Linked DNA regions of Elephas maximus indicus. The protein of the gene in region 3 interacts with the protein of the main gene of each other region in a pairwise test. Links are inferred from orthologs where the notes say so. Each region holds a gene or a part of one and is shown on either strand. Other genes may lie near its edges.

Region 1 (6,920 bases), on a different chromosome or scaffold from region 3:
AATGGAATAAGGAATAGTTTAATGAAAAATATGATAAATTGTTTTTATTAAGTTAGGGAAATAATACAGCACAAGGTAGAAGGAGACAGAAAGTTTGGAAAATCACTTTGTTTTACTCATGAGATAAAGCCATGATGAAAGAAATATAATAAAATTAAAAATAAAACACCTGACTTTTCGAAGACGACAAAGATTTTAATCTCTTTTATTAAACCACACAAGTGGTTAAGAACTTGGCAATTTGTTTCACATGTAGCAAGTGGCTTAGCGTGCAAGAATTTCAAATGAATACAGCACTTCAAGACTAAAGAAAAAGCTCTATTAAGTATCCCTGCCCAACTCGTGAATCTATATTTCAGTATTGTCTAGCTAGAATAGTGTCAACCAATAACTTTTTTTTCTTACGTAAGTTAAATTTGTAAAAAACACTTTGCAGGTGTTTTATGTATTTTTTTTATTTTAGTTTAGATGAATATCTACATGACATTCTCTATTTTTCATAATGTTATGCCATGTAAGAGACACTAAAAGCTTCTTATTAAATTAAAAAGTATACAATCTATTTAGATCAGCAACCTCTTTTTCATAGTGGTAAGATGCCCTTAAAAGACTTTGCAAATTAAATTTTAAAATAGGATTTTATTAGACTTCAAGATAATTTGGAAACGTAGGTGTAGTGGTTAAGAGCGATGGCTGCTAACCAAAAGATCAGCAGTTCGAATCCACCAGGTGCTTCTTGGAAACCCTATGGGGCAGCTCTACTCTGTCCTATAGTGTCTCTGTGAGTCGGAATCGACTCCATGGCAATGGGCTCTGGTTCTAAGATAATTTACAGCATTTTAAAAAAATGAATGAAATGTACACATGCAAAGAATTACACATATAATCCTTGTCAATGAATTATTGAGCAATCCTCAAAAGTAAACAGTATTTCTGTTAATATAGTGATCTCCTCTGTTAAAGTGTAACTATTTTGGTTTAAAAATAACCAAATGAAATGTAATTGTATCCTTCTGAATTTTCAAACCAAGGCATTTTTTTTGTTGTTGTTGTTCAAACTGGACTCACATGCAAATACATCAAAATAGTAGTATGTTGTCAACTGGTAAAATTTAATGTGAAATATAGCCCTGTGAATGTGTCCATTTTCTCTTAACAAACCCACTATCATGTAGCATAAGCATTACCTGCTGATTTTAAAATTCACTATAATAAAGTCGTACAGGGTATGTTCCCAAAAGGTTAGCTTTCTTAAATTCGAATTAAGACATTAAAAAGATATTTAAATATCTATGACAAAACAGAGAGTAGGTTGGCCTTGCTTCATTCCAGAATTGTCTCTTTGCTTTTCTTTTAGAATTGGCTTACACACAGGTATATGAAAGTATGTGTATGCATGGCTACATATATAGACACAAAAAGCACACACAAAGAACGAATATATGTTATATGTTTTTGTCATTGTAGTAAGTGAATGATTTTCAGTCAGAAAGCAACACTGATGCTCATCAAATTAATTTCTAAAATAAGGTAAAAATATCAGTAAATGCTCCACTACGAGACCTGGGAGCAGCTAATACAAACCAGTAAACAATAGTAATTTATTCCTAGAAATCTTTCCCAAGGGTAAAACTTCTGTTCTATTTCACCAGAAGCTGTGAAGAGTTACTTACTTAGAGAGATTTACTTTTTCATTCTTAATTATGGGTGTTGCTCTTGTACCTATTTTAGAGTGACTGGAATCCACAAGTCAGAGATAGAAAAAAAGAAAAAAAAAAAGATGTGTCCTTCATCCACCTCTTTGGGACACACTGTTCTCACCATATATTATTTTTATATCCTATTTTCACCGTAGTTAATTTCTAAATTTGGCAGAAGTCATCGTGACTTCCTTAAAAATAAACATAAATGTTGTATTTTAAATAAAAGCCTGACTATAGAGCTAGGCCGTCATAAACATGAAACAATGAACTGACTTTGGTAACTTTACTGCAAAATATGATTGGAAGTCCTTCACCTTTATGTTGTTTTCCCAAGAAACAGAGTACATGGTCATTTGGCAATACAGATCATATCAGCATTTGAAAGAATTCTCATGAAATGCTACAGAAAAGAACGTTCATAATACTAAATGTAATATGAGAAGGGAGCTTCTATTTAAATCTTTATCAATACTTTTCCCAACCTCCATTTCTCTATTACAATTCATTGTATTCTTTATTTTTTTTCTCCTCTGATCTGCCAGATACAATTTTCTAACCTCGAGGTCCCCACCTCATTCCCATACAACAATTAGTTCATGAAGAAGATATGTCAGGTCACTACCCAACATGTAATATATAATATTACATGTAAGCATTACTAAATACAGAAGTATCAAAATCATCAGGATAATAACTCAGAGACACAAACTATTTCACAGCAATCAAAGCGGTCTGTTACAAGCACTCAAAGCAGTGATGCTTATTCTATTATTTTAGGAGCTTCTTAAAATAAGAAAGATGTGTTAGGTGCAATTTGCAAAGAAAACATTTTGAATTCTACCTCCTTTCTGTTGAAAAGTTTTCTCAATGAGAGGTATGTACACCTTCACATATATGGCTATGTACAGTATATATAAGACAACATTTATGCTTATTCACAGACTACTATACTAATTTAAAATCAATTTGCCTCATCAGTGAGCTTGTCACAAACTAAATGTTAAGCCATGGCAAAAGATATTTTTAGTTACTTTGTACTTACAACAGTCCTCTACTTCTTCCCACCAAAGCATTTGGAAAATAAGTATATATCAGGGCAGCGATAAATATCTTGGTAAAAATTTCTTCCAACTTTATTGCTCGAGTAGGCTTAGGAATGATGAGAAACCAATAAACTTCTGGAGCCTTAAAAAAATACTTCAGTTTTCCTATCCGTTTCTCTCTGAAGGTAATTGCCTCCAAGATCTGAGCCCTGTAGGGGAAAAGTGAGTGATCCCAACACTGAGTGAGTCAACATAGTGACTGGTGCCAGAATTCTGTAGAGGCCTCTGGATACTTCAAATTCCAGGACCTGCGCAGAAGCAAGTGACCCGCCTTTCCCTCAAGTTGGTTTCCCATAATAGGACTGCCCATGGACACTACATATAAGGTTGTTCTTCCAGCATGGCAAGTCCTGTGAATTCAAATAACGTTCAACTGTATTCTGGTTAATATCCAAACCAGAACAGCATAGTGGACAGAGAACTTGTTCTCCAAGACTTCTCAACACAAAAACTGCACATTACAAAAATGTAACAGTATTTTCTGTGACTTTTTTTTATGCAGTTTTATAAAATAACAGAGCAGAATAGCCTGATCTAGAACTGATTTTTAATGTCTCCCCCCCCCTCCCGCCCCCATTTCTGAACAACACTAAAAATTTCACTCTACTGACACAAAAAGAAATGCCTGGAATAATCTATGCATTTGTTATACATCCAGTGTCTACAAAAGGTAATTTCTACCGTTGGGAACTAATCAAAAGCCATGTATTGATGATCCCAACAATCTGAATAAGAAAAGCAACAGACGAATGTGGCAGCTGATCTCTGAACGCAGAATGTATGTAGGTCTCCCAGGACTAGTTTTCTGCTAAAATAAAGAGCACTCTTACAATGGAACGAAGAAATCCCAGTTGCAGGTTATGATACAACTTCTTTACAAACAAATTACTCTTTCTTCAGTTTCTTTGGTGACAATTATTAAAACACCATTCTCTTAGACATTAAGTTAAAGATCAATTATTTAGTGGCTCACAACAGAGGTTTCCTTTTGTGTTAAACGAGCACAGTTTTAACCTGTCATTCAGGATGCTTGTAAATCGTTCGTTGCCAATACAAAGCTGCTTCTTTTTCTTTATTATTATTGTTTAATGAGACAGGTACATGCAATATTTATAGAAAACATTAGTGACTTTTTTTGAAAGATATTATTTTTGATTATACTAATCCCTGCCAAAATTATTTGAGTGTTGTTTTTTGTTGTTGTTGTTATTGTTAGCTGCCGTTGATCCGGTGTTTCTCTAGTACCATTATTAAAGCGATGCACTCATTTTTCTATGACAAACATTCAATTGCTTGGCACAGAAATAAATTATAGAAAAAATTGATATATTAAGATATTTACCAAATATTATAAATATTATCAAATATTTACCAAATAATATCAAATATTATTATGATGATAAGAATATCATCATAATAATATTTCCATTTTCCCCAACAAAACTTTTATATAGGTTGTCCCTGGATTACGAACATCTGACTTACGTACAACATGTAGTTACAAACCAAGCCCTGTAAAGCCTATGATGTACCTACAATGCTTTATAATAACAAATGGTACTACTTTGTGACACACATCAAAACATTATTATTACTATATTATTACGTTAAAGATATTTTAGTGTATCTGGAAGTATTTCTTTAATGTTTTTTATGCATAGAAAGATACATTATATACTGACAAACATCTGCTAGCTGAAATTAGATAGCAACTGTACCTAACTGTTCTGTCTTAAGGTATAAATTTGACTTAAAGACAGGCTTAGGAACGAAACTCACTTGTAATCAGTGACTGCCAGTAAAACAAAAAGCCTAATTTTTAAATTTAAGGTTATTTAAATTGCCATTAGCCAAAAACAGATTTAAAATGTTCCTATCCATAGGTCACCTTATTTCCACTCCTTAGTGTGGTTGTCTAAATATGCATATAAGCAACCATTTTTATTCATTCATAAAACAAATGTTTGGGGACAGAATTGAAAAAGAAGCACATTAAAATATTATCTATAACTAAACATACACTGTATGTGTATGATGTCGAAATAATTTTAAATGATAAGGTTATAATTGTTTATAGAGTAATTTACAGAGACCTATAATTTTTCAAAAACGCAAAGCATATTTCTATTATATTAAAGTAATGCATCGCATCAGCATGTTCTTTTAAATTACTCTTTAGCCTACAGTTTTATGATCCATGTCGTAAAATGAAGACTAGACCTTACTTGTATTCCAATATTACCAGTAATCCCTATATCATAAAGTAAACAACAAATTAACTAGGAAGAGCCAAGTGTGCTAAACTTAAAAGTGAACAAGGAATAAAATCTTAACGAAAATCCCTAAAGGCATTTGTCATGGATTGAATTGTGTCCCCCCAAAAATGTGTATATCAACTTGGTTAGGCCATGATTCCCAGTATTGTGTGTCCTCCATTTTGTGATTGTAATTTTATGTTGAGAGGATTAGGGTAGGATTGTAACACCACCCTTACTCAGGTCACCTCCCTGATCCAAGGTAAAGGGAGTTTCCCTGGGGTGTGGCCTGCACCACCTTTCATCTCTCAAGAGATAAAAGGAAAGGGAAGCAAGCAGAGAGTTGGGGACCTCATACCACCAAGAAAGCAGCACCAAGAGCAGAGTGCATCCTTTGGGCCTAGGGTCACTACACCTGAGAAGCTCCTCAACCATGGGAAGATTGAGGACAAGGACCTTCCTCCAGAGGTGACGGAGAGAGAAGGCCTTCCGCTGGAACTGACACCCTGAATTTGGACTTGTAGCCTACCAGAGTATGAGAGAATAAATTTCTCTTTGTTAAAGCCATCCACTTGGGGTATTTCTGTTACAGCAGCTCTAGCTAAGACAGCATTATTTTAGAGAAATCGGGAAGGGAGTGGGTTATTCTCCCCCCCCCCCATAACAAACTATTTAAGGTATTTTTAAGCATTAAGATGAATGCAGTTTCACAGGATAATAGTCTGGAAAGAAACACGTCTGATATTTATTTAAAGTTCACAACTTTATTGATTTGGGAAAAATCATTTGGTGGTCATTTATGCCACCCTTCTCCACAGTGATTCATACTTGTTGAAATGTTGCACCTTCTGTAAAGTCATATATTTCTAAGATGTTTTTAAAATTTTCTTTTTACTTAAATCCAATTGAATTATTTGCTAGTTTATGGGCTACTTTATAGGCACTCAGGCCAGGAAAAAAAAAAAAAGACAATTACGATTTAGGCAATTTGGTGCTTGTCTGTATATACAAAAATTCTTGTTGGGATTTTGATAGGAATTTCATTAAATTAAAAAAAATTGATATCTTTACTATGTTAAGTCTTCCAATCCATGAACATGGTATTCTATCTCCATTTATGTAGTTCTTTGATTTCTTTCAGGATCCCAGTATTAGGGAGAAAGCATTCAATCTTTCACCATTAAATATGATGTTAGCTACAGGAATTTTTTGTAGGTGTTCTTACCAAGTTGAGGAAGTCCTCTTCTATTCCTAGTTTTCTGAGAGTTTTTATCATGAAAAGGTGCTGAATTTTGTCAAATGCTTTTATTTTTTCCCTGCATCAATTCATAGGATCATGTGATTGTTCTTCTTTAGCCTGTTAATATGATGGATCAAATTTTGTTAAGGATTTTGGACCTACATTCATGAGGGGCATTGGTCTGTATTTTTCTTTTCCCTTTCCTTTTTTTTTTTTTGAGGAGGGGATACTGTGCTGGTTTTGGAAACTCTGGGGGCACAGTGGTTAAGAGCTATGGCTGCTAACCAAAAGGTCGGCAGTTCGAACCCACCAGGTGCTCCTTGGAAACCATATGCGGCAGTTCTATTCTGTCCTATAGGGTTGCCATGAGTCGGAATCAACCATATGGGAATGGGTTTGGTTTTCTCGGTGTGCCGGTTTTGGTATCAGAGTATTGCTGGCCTTGTAAAGTGTATTTGGAAGTATTTCCTTCTCTTCTATTTTCTGGTAGTTGACAGTTCTTTTCTTTCATCACATGAAAAAATATTGTGTCACTTCAATCTGGTCTCCACGGTTTCTCGTAAGAAATTTGCTGTCATTTGAATTTTTTCCCCGTATTGATAAACTGTCATTTCTCTTT
Region 2 (7,049 bases), on a different chromosome or scaffold from region 3:
GGAGGATTCGAACTGCCGACCTTTTGGTTAGCAGCTGTAGCACTTAACCACTACACCACCAGGGTTTCCTCTTGGAGCTACAGTAGGCTACATATTGGGGGTAAGGGTGGGGGTGACACGAATGGCTCCCAGGTTTCTGTCTTGTGCACTTGGAAGGATAATGGGGCCAGTCACTGAGATGGGGAGTCCCAGAGGAGGAACAGTTTGGGACACGTTAAGTGTAATGTGCCTTTGAGATACTCAAAAGGAAAAGATGAGAAGGAAGGTACCAGCCTAGACCTTAGAGAAGGATCCAGGATGGAAGTGTTTGTGCATACAGTGGTAATTAAAACCATGGGTGTGGGAAGACCACTTCAGGGGAAGAGAAAGGAACCTACAACTAAGCCTTGAAGAATTCCAGCATTTCAGTGCTGAGCAGAAAGGGTAAGCCTGCAAAATAGACTGAGAAGGAGCAGGTGGAGCTGGAGGGAGGACTGGGAAGCTTGTGTTTTGGAAGTTAAGGGAAGAGAATGCTTCAAGAAGAAAGGTGCAATCAATTGTGTTGAAGGCTGCTGAGAGGTCAAGAATCAGAGTGTCTGCAGGATTTACTTGGAGGTCACTGGTGATCTTAGAGCTTGGTTAGGTGCAGTGATGAGGTAGAATCTAGCTCAAAGCTTCTGGACCTCACTTCAAGTACTCCACGATTCTGATCATCTGTCTTTGGTAATAAAGAGGACAATGAAAGATTGAGATGTATTGCATCCCTCAACTCAAAATATATTCATGTTGTCCCAGTTGGAAGGCACCCTTTGCTCATCCCCCTCGCAATCTTTTCCTCTCCAAGCTAACCATACCGTGCCCAAGATGGTCAGTTCATTGTCTGCCTCAGATTGTGAGAGGGATCTCTGATTCTGAAGGCTCCTGGTGATGTCTACAAGCTGCTCCACCAGCTCTCCCAGCTCCCGACCAACTTCTGTGATGCTCCTCTGTGCTGCTGCCTTTAAAAGAGCAAAGATAGAACATAAAGCTGGACCCAGCATCCAGCACTGGACAGTGGCAGCCATAAACACTGGGTAAAGGAAGTAGGCAAGGAAGGGATGAAAGAACTAACTATTGTCCAGAAAATGAGCAGGTAGACCTTGCTCATTCCCGTTTCCCACTACTGATCTCCCAGTGGCCATAACAGGGAACCCTAGTTCATCCATGGGATGGGGATGGGAGTGAAGTGTGAAAGGAAACTTGTGGGTTGCTTTATGCAGGGGAAGTCAGAGGGGAAATGGGGTGAGAGAGCCTGGATTTGGCAGGGGTAGATGGAGGCTGAGAAGGTGAGTGGTGAAGCAGAAGGCACAAGGCTCAGGTCTGAGCTGGACTCTTGGCTATGGCTCATCCTGTGACCTCAACTCCCCCCCCCCCCCCACCTTCAGGAGTAAGAAGGATCTACCTAACCATCCATTGTAAAAATATCTTGGAGACTTTAAAGTATTACGCAGATACGAGCTCTTTTTGACATCCTTCACATTAAAAAAAAATTCAGATGAGAGTGCTAAACAACTCCACGCCAAAGAGCTTATTCTGCTGAGCTGTCTGGTTGGGGTGGGAGCAAGTTTGCAGCCAACACATACTGACAACGCCATCAAGACCTGGTGACATCCACGGAAGGCTGGACCCAGACCTTAAATGGAAAACGGTGGTCCGCTGTAGAGTCACAGAAATACAAGATGTTCATCATCCAACTCTAAATAGACCAGGTTTTTTGTTTAACTTTGGGCATTTTCCTTTTTAAAAAAATCATGTCGGAACTTCAAAAATCTTTGACCCAGAACCTTTTTTCATCTCTAAGAAGCCTAGATGTCCTCTCAGATAACATGTTTGGAACCCAGACTCAGGCTATTTTACAGAGGGAGGTGACAGGCCACCGGTAACACTGCTCGCTCTTAAGTTTCCAAGCCCCAGTTTTCAGGTACCTGGAACTCTGGAGTGGAGCCCTTATCCAGGCACCTGAGCTAATTCAAAACATTAAAAAAATAAGTGCATTACTTTTTACATCATAAAAGAAACGTACACTCATTGTACTGAATTTGAAAAACACAGAGAATTAATAAAGAAAATATGTTTTTACATCCTCCCATGTCCTGCCAGTCAAAGAAAATCACTTCAATTTAAAAGCCAATGTGAAGCGTATTCAGTCACCAAAAGCTATGTTCACGAAGAGTTTTAAGGACCCGAGGGATAATTCCGTGTTTATACCCAAAAGGAAGATGTACAATGTAGTCTCAACTCTGTTTGAAAAGGGCGCGGAAAAGCTGAAAAGAAATGGAAGTAAGGCCAGGTGTACAGCAGCTAGGTTGACAGTCGGTTCTACTTTTCCGAACTTTCCAAAGATTCGCCAAAGAGCGGGTTCTACCTTTAGACTGAGAAAGTTAACGTAAACATAGAAAGGATAAGGATGTTGGAGGGAAGAAGAGCCGAAAGGGGAGAGTGGGAAGGGGCGCTGGGAGGAGGAAGGCGGAAGGCGGCGCGGCAGGCTGCGGGCCAGGAGAGCCCCCAGGGCCGCCTCCCTACCGGCAGGGCTGCAGGGCGGCGCCGGGAGGCCGGGGCCGGGCCGGGCGCGAGCTCGGGGCCAGCCCCGCGGCCGCCCTCCTCCAGCTCGCGCACCGCCCGGCTGTACTTGTCGGCCAGGTCCTGCAGCAGCGTGTTCTTCCGCAGCGGCGGCTTCTGCGGGGCGCCCTCGCGGCAGGTGGGGCAGGCCCAGCGCGGCTTCTCGGCCCAGGAGCCCCACAGGCTCTTCAGGCAGGAGCTGCAGAAGCTGTGGCCGCAGGGCAGCGTAACGGGGCAGTCGAGCAGCCCGCGGCAGATGATGCAGCCCAGGTCGTCCTCGTTCAGCCACACCGGGATGGCCGGGCCGGAGTCCAAGCCCGCCATGGTGACGGCGGCCAGGCGCGGGGGCGCGGAAGTCAAGGCCCAGCTGGGGACCGGCCGCCCTCCGCCACTTCTCCTCTGGCTCCTCCCCCGCTCTTCCTCTCCCGCCTCCAGCCTTCCTGCTGCCTGGTCCCCTCCTCTCTCCCATCCTCCACTTTTCTTCTCTCCAAAAAAGAAAAAAAAGTGGCCCTTGAGTCGATTTTGACTCCTGGCGACCTCTTGTATGCAGAGAACTACCTTCCGTAGGGTTTCCAAGGCCGTGACCTTTCAGAAGCAGATCGCCAGGCTTGTCTTCCGAGGCGCCTCTAGGTGGGTTCAAACATTAGTAGAGCGCTTAACCGTTTGCACCACCCGGGGATTCTCCTTCTGTCCAGTCTCCCCGAAAGCTGGCTTAGTTTCTCCACTGCCCAGCTCGCAGCGTCTCATGCGTTGAGCCGGCCCTAAGTTACTGCCTCCCGTACTGGAGAATCAGCTGATCCCCAAATCGCTAGGAACTCACTGATGTCTCAAAGGCTCCCTATAGTTTGATGTCCCCATTAAGACATAACCTGGACAACTTTTGGGAGAAGGAAAAAGAGAGGATTCGATTCAACAGCTCACTTACGAGAATGCGCCCATTAGGTGACATCTAACCCCTCTAGCAAGTGGTGAGGAAATAAGAATTACCCGGTACCCATTAGCTAGGAAGCTCTTTAAAAATACCAAAGTTTGCACCCGACCCCAGAGAGTCTGATTTCATTGTCTGAGGTGGAGCACCAGCATGGTTTTTTTGTTTGTTTTTTTAATCGCTATTAATATTTGGTGGGGGTTTATTAATATCACACACAAGTAACATTTTGCTGAAGGTAATTCAGAAACGGTTGGGTAGTACATCACAGGGAACTGCCAGAAATTCAAGCCAGATTCAGAAGAGGATGTGGAAGGAAGGATATCATCACTGATGTCATATGGATCTTGGCTGAAAGCAGAGAATACCAGAAAAAATGTTTACCTGTGTTTTATTGACTATGCAAAGACATTCGACGGTGTGGATCATAACAAATTATGGATAAAGACAAAGATTAGGCAGGATTGTAAAACAAACAATAACATATGTGAGGAATATACTTCTTAGTTCAATCAAATATATGAGACCAAATGGGCAACTACTGCCCAAAAGCAAGACAAGAAGGCAAGAAGGGACAGGAAAACAGGACAAATGGACAGGAGGAACCCAGGGTGGAACGAAGAGTGTTGTCACATTGTGCGGATTGCAATCAATGTTACAGAACAATATGTGTATAGATTTTTTGAATAAGAAACTAACTTGAGCTGTAAACTTTCACCTAAAGCACAATTTTAAAAAGTTGGGGAGGGGGAATGCAAAACAGAATTTCAAATTCTCATGGATTCCAGGTTTCCTGGAGCCATGAAGGTTGGATGAACTGCTGAAGCTATTGCCCTGAGATAGTCTTTAAGCCTTAAACCAAAAATATCCCCAGAAGTCTTAAAACCAAACAATAGTTTAGCTTAACTAGTAAAAAATGTCTGCCTTGAGCCTTATACTCTTTTAAGGACTATCTATATGGGGTCAAATTGACAACAGCAACTTGAAAAATTAGATAGGAACCTTAGAGGGCAGTGAAGTTATTTTAATGGGGGAGGAATAACTCAGAAAAGGAGGGTGAGAATGATTGCACAACTTGAAGAATGTAATCAATGTGAAACTGTTGAATTGGTGTAATTTTTACTATGTATGTTCTCAACAACAAAATAAATAAAAAAGAAATTTTCTTTGATCTAAACCTCCCTTTAGCTACTACTTCTCCATTTCACAGCCAGGGTTCTTTGAAAGAGTTGGTTAACCAGTTGTCTTCAAACTTTTTTTTTCTTGGGCACCTCCTAAAGGTTTTATGCAAAAACATATAATGGTTACAAAAAAAAAAAAAGGATTTTTGTTTTCTTTATGTTGCGGTGTAATCCATACCGAAGGCTGTGGTCTTTGATCTTCATCAGTAAGTGCTTCAAGTCTCTTCACTTTCAGCAAGCAAGGCTGTGTCATATGCATATCACAGATTGTTAATGAGTCTTCCTTCAATCCTGATGCCCCGTTGTTCTTCTTCTTAGAGTCCAGCTTCTCAATTTATTTGCTCAGCATATAGATTGCATAAGTATGGTAAAAGGACACAACCCTGACTTCAAACCACGTAGTATCCCCTTGTTATGTTCGAATGATGGCCTCTTGATGTATGTACAGGTTCCTCATGAGTGCAATTAAGTGTTCTGGTATTCCCATTCTTTGCAATGTGATCCATAATTTGTTATGATCCACATTGTCGAATGTCTTTGCATAGTCAGTGAAACACAGGTAAACATCTTTCTGGTTTTCTCTGCTTTCAGGAGCTCTGGTGGTGCAGTGGTTAAGAGCTTGGCTGCTAATCAAAAGGTTGGCAGTTCAAATCCACCAGCCACTCCTGGAAACTCTATAAGGCAGTTCTACTCTGTCCTGTAGAGTTGCTATGAGTTGGAATCAGCCCCATGGCAACGGGTTTGTTTTAAATAAACGTTAGTTCTGACAATCCTTGTTTACGTACTTTAATAAATGGTAACAATGTCACACATTTGGTTGAACAGTTCTGAGATAAATTGTAAAATATCACATCATGATCTATCGTAAAAGTTATTTTTAATTATCTCTCAGCTGACAATTTGATTTTCCTTTTTTTTTTTTTTTGGCTGAAAGCAAGGAATTTGAAACCACCTGTGTTGCAAAAGTCAAAGGTATTCTGTTTCTGATTTTCTGGGAAGCATGCCAAAAAAGACTTTATTAAAGTTTATCAAATAACTATCAATTATACCAGTCACTCTTTTAGTAGGAGTCACCTTGTTTAACCTGATATACTCAGAAAAAGCTGGTGAAATTAGCATTTTCAACATGCCTTTGCTATATACTTTTTCGAATAGTTGCTTTCAACTGGTTGTATGCTTGAAATATATTTTCCTCAAAAATCTGTAGCTGTACTTTTAGCTTATTCACGTTTGCAAAATATTTGCTATATAACCTAATTAGCAAAGCCAGTTCCCACTGTCAAACCAGTCAGTCAATTCAGACTCAATTTCTATCAGAGAGTGATGTCATTTTTAAATTCAAGCGTGTTAATACACAGCTCTGTGATTCTGGTTCCCAGTGCTAAGTTAGATGAGAAATGGCAAGGTTATCGAGTGTGCACTGCACGAAATAACACGTTTTATCTGTGCTTTCTTTGCTTTGCTCTTAATAAATTCCTTCAGGGACAAAGAATTTTTTTGTCGGCAGAAGGAAGAGTTCATTACGTGAACATTGTCCTAACTTCCACTCCACTTTACGATAGGTGAATCTAAAACTTTGAACATAAGCCAGAACACCCAATTTTTTATTTTGTTTTTTAAATTGTACTTTAGATGAAGGTTTACAGAACAAACTAGTTTCTCATCAAACAGTACACACATTGTTGTATGACATTGGTTAACAACTCCACGACATGTCAACACTCTCCCTTCTCAACCATGGGTTCCCTATTACCAGCTTTCCTGTTCCCTCCTGCCTTCCAGTCCCTGCCCCTGGGCTGGGGCACCCCTTTTGCATGGGGTCTGTTTAATCTTTGGCTGAAGGGTGAGCCCCAGAAGTGATCTCATTACTGAGCTGAAAGGGTGTCTGGGAGCCATACTCTCAGGGTTTCTCCAGTCTGTCAGGCCAGCAAGTCAAAAATTTCTATTACCAAACAAAAATCTGCATAAAATAGAGAAAGTCATGAACCCTGACCTCAACGTCTTGATTAAAGAAGGCTTCACTGACTCTGTTCAGGGGATAAGAAGACAAGCCACAGGCTGGGGGAAAATGTTTGCAAGTCCTATATCTGTCAAAAAAATAGTATCCAGAATTAATTTAAAAAAAGCTCTCAAAACTCAACAATAAGAAAACAACCAGCTTAAGAAAGGGGCTAATGCACTTGGACAGTCATTTCATCAAAGATAGAAAATAAGAATGTAAATCACTAGCCGCTAGGGAAATACAGATTAAAATCGTGATGAGCGTCCACTACATACCTATTACAATGCCTGAAATAAAACACACTGACAATACTAAGTGCTAGTGATGATGCAGAGTAACTGGAACTCTCGTACAGTGCCGG
Region 3 (6,949 bases):
CTTAGAAATACTATGGGGTAGTTCTGCTCTGTCCTATACTGTAGGGTTGCTATGAGTCAGAATCAACTCCATGGCAGCAGGTTTGGTTTTTTACTTTTTGGTAAAGTGCTTTTAGCTGTATAAAGTGATATTGCAAGTAACTAAACTTAAGCTAACATATGACTGTTGCTGGGCATAATTATTAGTATGAATATGGAGTTTTTAGAGGGAAACTTTAAGTACTCTAAGCACTAAGAGAATAGAGTTGCCAAAATTAGCAGCAATGATGCAGTATCCCCCTGAAATATCATGAACAGAGGTACCCTACAGAGCAACATACTCCCACTCAGGAAACAAACTGCCACAGGACTCCAGTGACAGTGTGAGGAATAGGAAGGTTAACTAGCTGGGGGGAGTCTGACAGGGACCCTCGGAGACAGAGAGGAGCAGCCTAGCATGCCCCCTCTCTACCCTATTTAAAGACTTTCAAATATAGTGAAAAGATTTTATAGAATTCTCACAGGGCGTAGAGACCAAGTGGTATGACCCAGAAAGAGCTTCCCTAGGAACAAACCATGCATTGATGAGGTAGAATTTGCTTCAGTAAAAACCAAGTCCATAAATCCTGTCACAATATCTTGTCATTTTATAGCTTTATTAAAGATTAGTTTCAAGTACACATTCACTATTCAATTGTAAGCTGAATGGGAGGGCATGGTGCAGGGAGAGGAGGAGATTGAAACCCTCTCTACAGAATTGTTCCTCTCTTTTGAGAATGAGGACAGGATATGGAATTTTCAACATAAACCCCATGTCATTTAAGTCCGAAATTCCTGTTACACTCTGTTCCTAAAAGTTCTGTCTGTCAGACTGCCTTAGATGCCAGTCTTATTTTTTGTTGCTGTTTAATTGCGAGGGTTCATAACACCGTCTTCCATGAAAGATGGTTAGCTGGCAGAGTTCTTCCTTGATTTCTGAGACTGGTGTGGGTTGATTCCTGACAGTGGGAGGATACCTGGGAAGTGTTACGGAGACTGTGTATTTAAAAATTCTGTACTCTTTGGAAGTGGCAGCTGTTTATACCAGTTAAAGTGTATGCTGCTAAAGGGCTTGCAGATGAGGTCTAAACTTAGTCTTAACATGAACCCACTGTGACCCATCAGAATTTTCTAGTACCTCTAGTTCTCATATGGATGTATTAGTGCTTCAGGAATGTTCAATACTGGGCAAGAGATACTCAGAAATTCAGGCCATGATGGGTCAGATTAAGTTAGTTTAGTGAGCTATCCAGAGCTTTCAGTCTCAGGGTTTACAGGAAGGACCCCTTCAGGACTTCACATAACTCTTGTGCTGAAAGTCTCCCTAGACCCTTACATGAGTATTACAATGGGGCTTAGTGGGCGCATTTCACACTGGAAATAGTTTCTGGCAACATACTCCCAAATGTTAGTTCTAGATAAGAACAAGTACTTTTGTTTTTACAATTTTTTGTCATTTATGTATTTCATCATCAAATACATTAATTTTATTAATATATTGAGGACCTGCAAGAAATACATAAACACTATCTGAAACCACTAAGTAGTTATTTTTGGATAGTTTAAAAATGAAGCTAATCTGTCTGCTTCCTGCAGTCAGAAATTCTCAGCTAGAATGGATCTTACATAATTAGGTGATTCTGTCATTTTCTAGAGAAGGAAACACGTTCGTAGTTTAACATGACTTGTCTAACACACACAGCCAGTTAGTAACAGAATTTTGAGTAGAATAGTTTTTTTCCCCTCAGTTCATTGTTCTACTTCTTTTCCCTTTTCCCTGTATTTGAACAGCATTTGCCAAAATATATGTTCCTTATAGCAGTTGTTCTAAGGGATGTTAATAGATGTTGTAAGAGGGGGAAAAAATGTTGGAAGGGGAAGGGACTTTATGGTTTATTAAAATTGAGGAATGCTGAATTTGCTTCCTTTCTATAGGACCTCTAAGAGGTTTTAACTTACTGTTACCAGAACCAAACTCATTACTGTGGAGTCAGTTCTGACTCATAGCAACCCTATAGGACAGAGTAGAACTGCCCAGTAGGGTTTCCAAGGAGCGACAGGTGGAGTCAAACTGCTGACCTTTTGGTTAGCAGCCAATCTCTTGACCACTGTGCCACTAGGGCTCTGGGATGTACTATTACATGCCATGAATTTATAAGAGGGTTTGAAGACTGTGTTTACTAGACTTGCCCCCCTCCTTCTTTATTCAGAGAATCTCAAAGGATTGGTCCTTTAAGAAACACGGCTGTAGAGCAAGTTTACAGCCCTTTAGAAGACATCCTGATGAAAACACTGAATAGTAAATCGTTACCATGGTACCAGGTAATAAATCTCAAAGTTTAGTGAGATACTAGAGAGCGAGAAAATTTACATTTCAGAGCTATACTTAAAGTATAGAGATTCTTCTCCACCTATGGTGTGTAAAATCAGTATTTATGCTTAGTTTTGCAAGTTTGTAAAGAATCAGTTAATGTGCAGATACAGTGGTGATCTGTTGCTATTACATTTTAGTGATGCTTTTGTATGGCACTTTAGAGTTTTCAGATCCCTTTTCATAACAACCCTGTGAGGCAGGTGTTAAGTATTATCCTCATTGTACAGATGAGGCACTGGAGACTCAGAAAGGTTTGTTGAATTTCCCCTAACTTTATACCATAAAACGGTGGAGTCAGAATTTCAGTTACAGGACTTCTGACTCCAAGTCCAGCGTTCTTTCCTCCACACCTGGTTTCGTTTCTTTTTTTGTTTCTAGCTTTGTATTGTACAATGGAAGGTGCGGAAGTAAATCTTAAAGTAACGTTTTGGCTTATTATTGAAATACCATTTCTATTGCAGTGACCAGGAAAATAACTCATTGTAGCTAATCCAAAGAAGACCCTTCTTTTGTCCTTTGTAGTGCCACTTGTTGAGGTGACTAAAGTGTTCTTGGAAATATTGTTTAATTTTGAGGTCAGGATTTGATATATCTAGTTGTAATTGCTAATGTAACCTTTTGAAAATGTATCAACTCAGCATTCTCAGGCAAAGTAAAGATGGTTTGAAAGTAAAAAGAGTACTCAAATACAACAGTAAATATTCTTTATTCTCACATAAATGCTGTTTCTCAGCTTTAACCTGCTTTGACAACCTACTGATGTAACTTTTGTAAATGTAAAATGTTTATATTTTGAAATAAAATTAATAGTGTTCAATGAATCTGGTGGTAAACTTAGTCTTATTTCTGTTGAGATAAAGAGTGAAGCCAAACTTTAATGAAGATGTCCATCTGTCTCTTAGGCCTTGTGTCTTGCCTTTTACTTAGGCTACAGTGAAGTTTTTTTGAAATATGGTCAGTTTAAGTAAGGGAAGCTGTATTTGAGGAGTGGGTGCCTGAAGGGTGTCCAAGGCTGAGGCCGTAAGTTATGACTCTATTCAATATAGGACTTTCACAGAGGAAAAATAACTGCTGTGCATAACACTGGTGAACAAACCTGAAGAGCCTATAAAGCGAAGTAATATCAGAAGCACGTTTCAGCAGTGCTTGGGAAAGACCTTTCAGATACCTGGAGTTGGTAGTATCAGTCTGACATTGTGAATGGAGAAATGATCCTGGCTAAGGTGGAGGGTGAACTATAACTAGCAGTTACCCTCCTCTAGTCGATTATGGTTCATGGTGACCCCATGTGTGAGAACTGTGCTCCTCAGGGTTTTCAGTGGCTGTGATCCTTCCCAAGTAGTTCCCTACTCTAGCCGTGGAGAGCGGCCAGGAACCCACCCAGGTCTCCTGAGGAGAGGAGGAGGTGGGGCAGGCAACGGAGTCAGAAGTGGGGGGCTGGGCGGGGCTGCGGAGAGCGGAGCTGCCCTGGAGCGCGTAGGCCATGAAGGCGGGGCAGAGGCGGAGGCGGAGGCGGAGGCGGAGGCTGGGCGGTGCTGGGCGGGGGCGGGGCCTCGGGCGGTGCGGTTGCGCTGCTGCTGTTGCTGCCGCGGGCTGGTGGGCCGGCGGACAGCGGGCCCGCAGCGGCGCGGAGTGTGGGCTTAGGCACCGGCGGAGGGCCATGGCTGCCTCTCCGGGCCCCGCTGGCGTTGGCGGCGCCGGAACATTCCACGGCTCCAGCCCGTCGGGCTTCGCCTTCGACTCCGGACTCGAGATCAAAACTCGCTCGGTGGAGCAGACGCTGCTCCCGCTAGTTTCTCAGGTAAAGTGGCGCCCAGCGCAGCCCTTCGTCTCCCTCCAGCTGCGGCTCGCGATGGCGGCGGCCTCCAGCTCGGCCGGGGCCCGGCCGGCCCGGGAGGACTGCGCCGTCGGTGTCGGACGGCCTGGCTGGGCTTAGGGACGGGCCTGGCTCAGGCGCCGGGAATCGGGGCAATCTGAAATGCAGCGGCCAGGCCAGAGTGGGGCTGAGCGGCAGGGAGGCTGCGGGACGGCGGCGGCTGGGCCGGCTCGGCGGAGCCCGGCTCGGACTCGGGTGCCTGGCCCGGCAGGTGCGCTGCCCGGTCTGCCCCCAGGACTGGCTTCGGGCTTGCGGCCGCAGGCGGCCCCCGGCTGAGCGAGGCCGCCTCCGCTGGGACAGGCAGCCATGCCCAGTACCCGGGAGGCTGAGAAGACCTGAAGGCCCCCAGCTGTCCCGGGGCCCTCCTCGTTGCCGCTCATTAACCGACTGAGGTCAAACTTTTGCATCCCCAATCCAAACCCAGGACTGTCGGCCACTTTGGGCACTTCCTACTAGCCAGGTCCAGCGTGCTCTCCCCGAGGCCTTTGTCCCTCTCCCTTGCCTGTGTGTCGGCTCCGCCTATCTCTCCTTCACCCTGGGCCACCCTGCACCTTCTCCTTAACCTGCCAGCCCCTCCTGGTCAGCCTTGGTCAGGCGTCTTGGAAGAGAGGACTATCTGGTAGTTAACTAGGACACACACCTTTTTGCCAAATCCCACTTTGGGAGGTATGCATGATTGTATTGCTGGTCATAACAGAAGTCAAGAATCAGCTAACCGATGCTTAGTTTTAGAAAGGTTTTTGTTACTCTGAGTTGATTTATACACAGCCCGAGGGCTAGAATTCCTCGCTCAGATCTGTTGTAATGTGCCAACCACTGTGAGGAGCGAAGAATGGTGTGCCTGCAGGAACGGGTTGGCAATGTGTGACTCACAACTGATTGTAAAAATCTTTATGATTCATACCAGTATTATCAAGATTTTAGACGTAGAATGAATCTTTGAGGTTATCTGACTCTAAATTAAAAAAAGAAAAAATTCTTTCTTACAGCATCCTTAACACCTGGTCAACAGTTTTCTGCTTAAACATGTTCAATGATGGCTGGAAAGCCTGTAGCTTTGAGAAATGGCCTGTTACATACAATTCTAAATTTTCTTCTCCATCACAGCCTTGCTAGTATTTGAAGACAGCTGTCACACATGTCCCTAAACTCCTGTTATGTTGATGAAATAACCCCAATTTCTTCATCTGTGCTTATTTTAGCATGGCTAACAGTAAACGGGAAGCTCTGGTGGTATGTAGTAGTTAAGAGCTACAGCTGCTAATCAGAAGGTCAGCAGTTCAAATCCACCGGGTGCTCCTTGGAAACTCTATGGGGCAGTTCTAGTCTGTCCTTTAGGGGTCTCTATGAGTTGGAATAGACTTGATGGTAACAGATTTGGTCTTTGTTTTTTGGTAACAGTAAATGAGTATACGACACACATACACTTCTGATTGAGGTACTGACCAGTGGGAAGGAGTGCGGGGATCAGTCAGTAATGTCTGTAGTAATTGGTCCCTTCACCCCAAGAACAACAACACAACTACAACTGAAAGTGAGAAATACTGGAGCAGTTTTAAGAGACAGAGAGGGGAGAAGAGGATGGCTGAGTTCAAGTTGATAGTGTTTTGTATGCGTTTAGTTAACAATATGTATATAGTGCTCCGGAGTCCCAGAGGCACCTTGGAAGAGAGGCCTCCTGATCTAATGGAGCACAGTTGTACTCTGAACCACCTGGGGTTGGCATGAGTTGGAATTGACTGGGCAGCAGCTGGTGGTAGTGGCGATAGTACTCCATTAACTCATTCAACAATCCTACAAGGTGCCCATATGTTTATTCTCATTTTACAGATGAGGAAACTGAGGAATGAAAAAAGAATAGGGAGGTCAAATAATTTCCCTCCAGTTTTTCAACTAACCAAAAGCCAAACCCACTGTCCAGTCAATTCTGACTCATAGCAACCCTACAGGACAGAGTAGAACTGCCACATAGGATTTCCAAGGAGTGGCTGATAGATTCAAATTGCTGACCATTTGGTTAGCAGCCGAGCTCTTAACCAGTGCGCCACCAGGACTCCATCTTTCAACTAGTATGTGCGAAACTAGGATTTGAACTCAAGCAGCCTGGCTCCATAGTCACACCCAGGGACTATCCACTCTAGAAACTAGAAGCAGTGATGAGGTCACCTGTTAGGTACTACAAAGAGAGCCTGCAATGGAAAACAAGCTGGACGATTGTTGCAATCTGGAGAAATGGTAACCTTTCACAGTATTGCTGCTAAAAACGTATCAGTTCAACAGCTCTGCTGATGAGAGTTAACTAGAGGTCAATGCCAAAGGGCGAAATGCCAGGTTTTTTTTTTTTTTTTTCTGTTAAAGCCACTTGCAGGGCCACAGCTAAGGTTCTGCATCCCACACATTTTGTACTATAACCGATATTCCTAATGATTTACTATTGTTGTACGCAATCGAGTTGATTCTGACTCATAGCAATCCTATATGACAGAGTAGAACTGCCCCATAGGGTTTCCTAGGCTGTAATCTTTATGGGAGCAGATCACCAGGTCTTTTCTCCTACAGAGCTACTGGTGGGTTCAAACCGTAGACTTTTTGCTTAGCAGCCAAGCGCTTAACTGTTTCTCCACCAGGGTTCCTAATGATTTACTGTACTCAACAAGAAAAAGTGAAAATTATGCTTAAAAT

What was found.
Region 1: the proteins of CTNNAL1 (region 3) and DMD interact in binary tests that used the Homo sapiens proteins (3 or more experiments, as listed by UniProt). The two-hybrid records come from large-scale screens. The link is inferred for Elephas maximus indicus from reciprocal best matches to the Homo sapiens genes CTNNAL1 and DMD.
Region 2: the proteins of CTNNAL1 (region 3) and RNF135 interact in binary tests that used the Homo sapiens proteins (3 or more experiments, as listed by UniProt). The two-hybrid records come from large-scale screens. The link is inferred for Elephas maximus indicus from reciprocal best matches to the Homo sapiens genes CTNNAL1 and RNF135.

What each region holds. Positions count from the first base shown.
Region 1 is NC_064846.1:143,367,315-143,374,234, reverse strand, and holds the start of DMD (dystrophin), read right to left. Parts: upstream 3,003-6,920; 5' UTR 2,777-3,002; coding exon of another isoform or gene 2,746-2,776; intron 1-2,745. UniProt on the Homo sapiens protein: Anchors the extracellular matrix to the cytoskeleton via F-actin. Ligand for dystroglycan.
Region 2 is NC_064837.1:26,813,714-26,820,762, reverse strand, and holds the start of RNF135 (E3 ubiquitin-protein ligase RNF135), read right to left. Parts: upstream 3,003-7,049; 5' UTR 2,902-3,002; coding exon 2,542-2,901; intron 978-2,541; coding exon 834-977; intron 1-833.
Region 3 is NC_064827.1:58,455,101-58,462,049, reverse strand, and holds the start of CTNNAL1 (alpha-catulin), read left to right. Parts: upstream 1-3,941; 5' UTR 3,942-4,051; coding exon 4,052-4,192; intron 4,193-6,949. UniProt on the Homo sapiens protein: May modulate the Rho pathway signaling by providing a scaffold for the Lbc Rho guanine nucleotide exchange factor (ARHGEF1).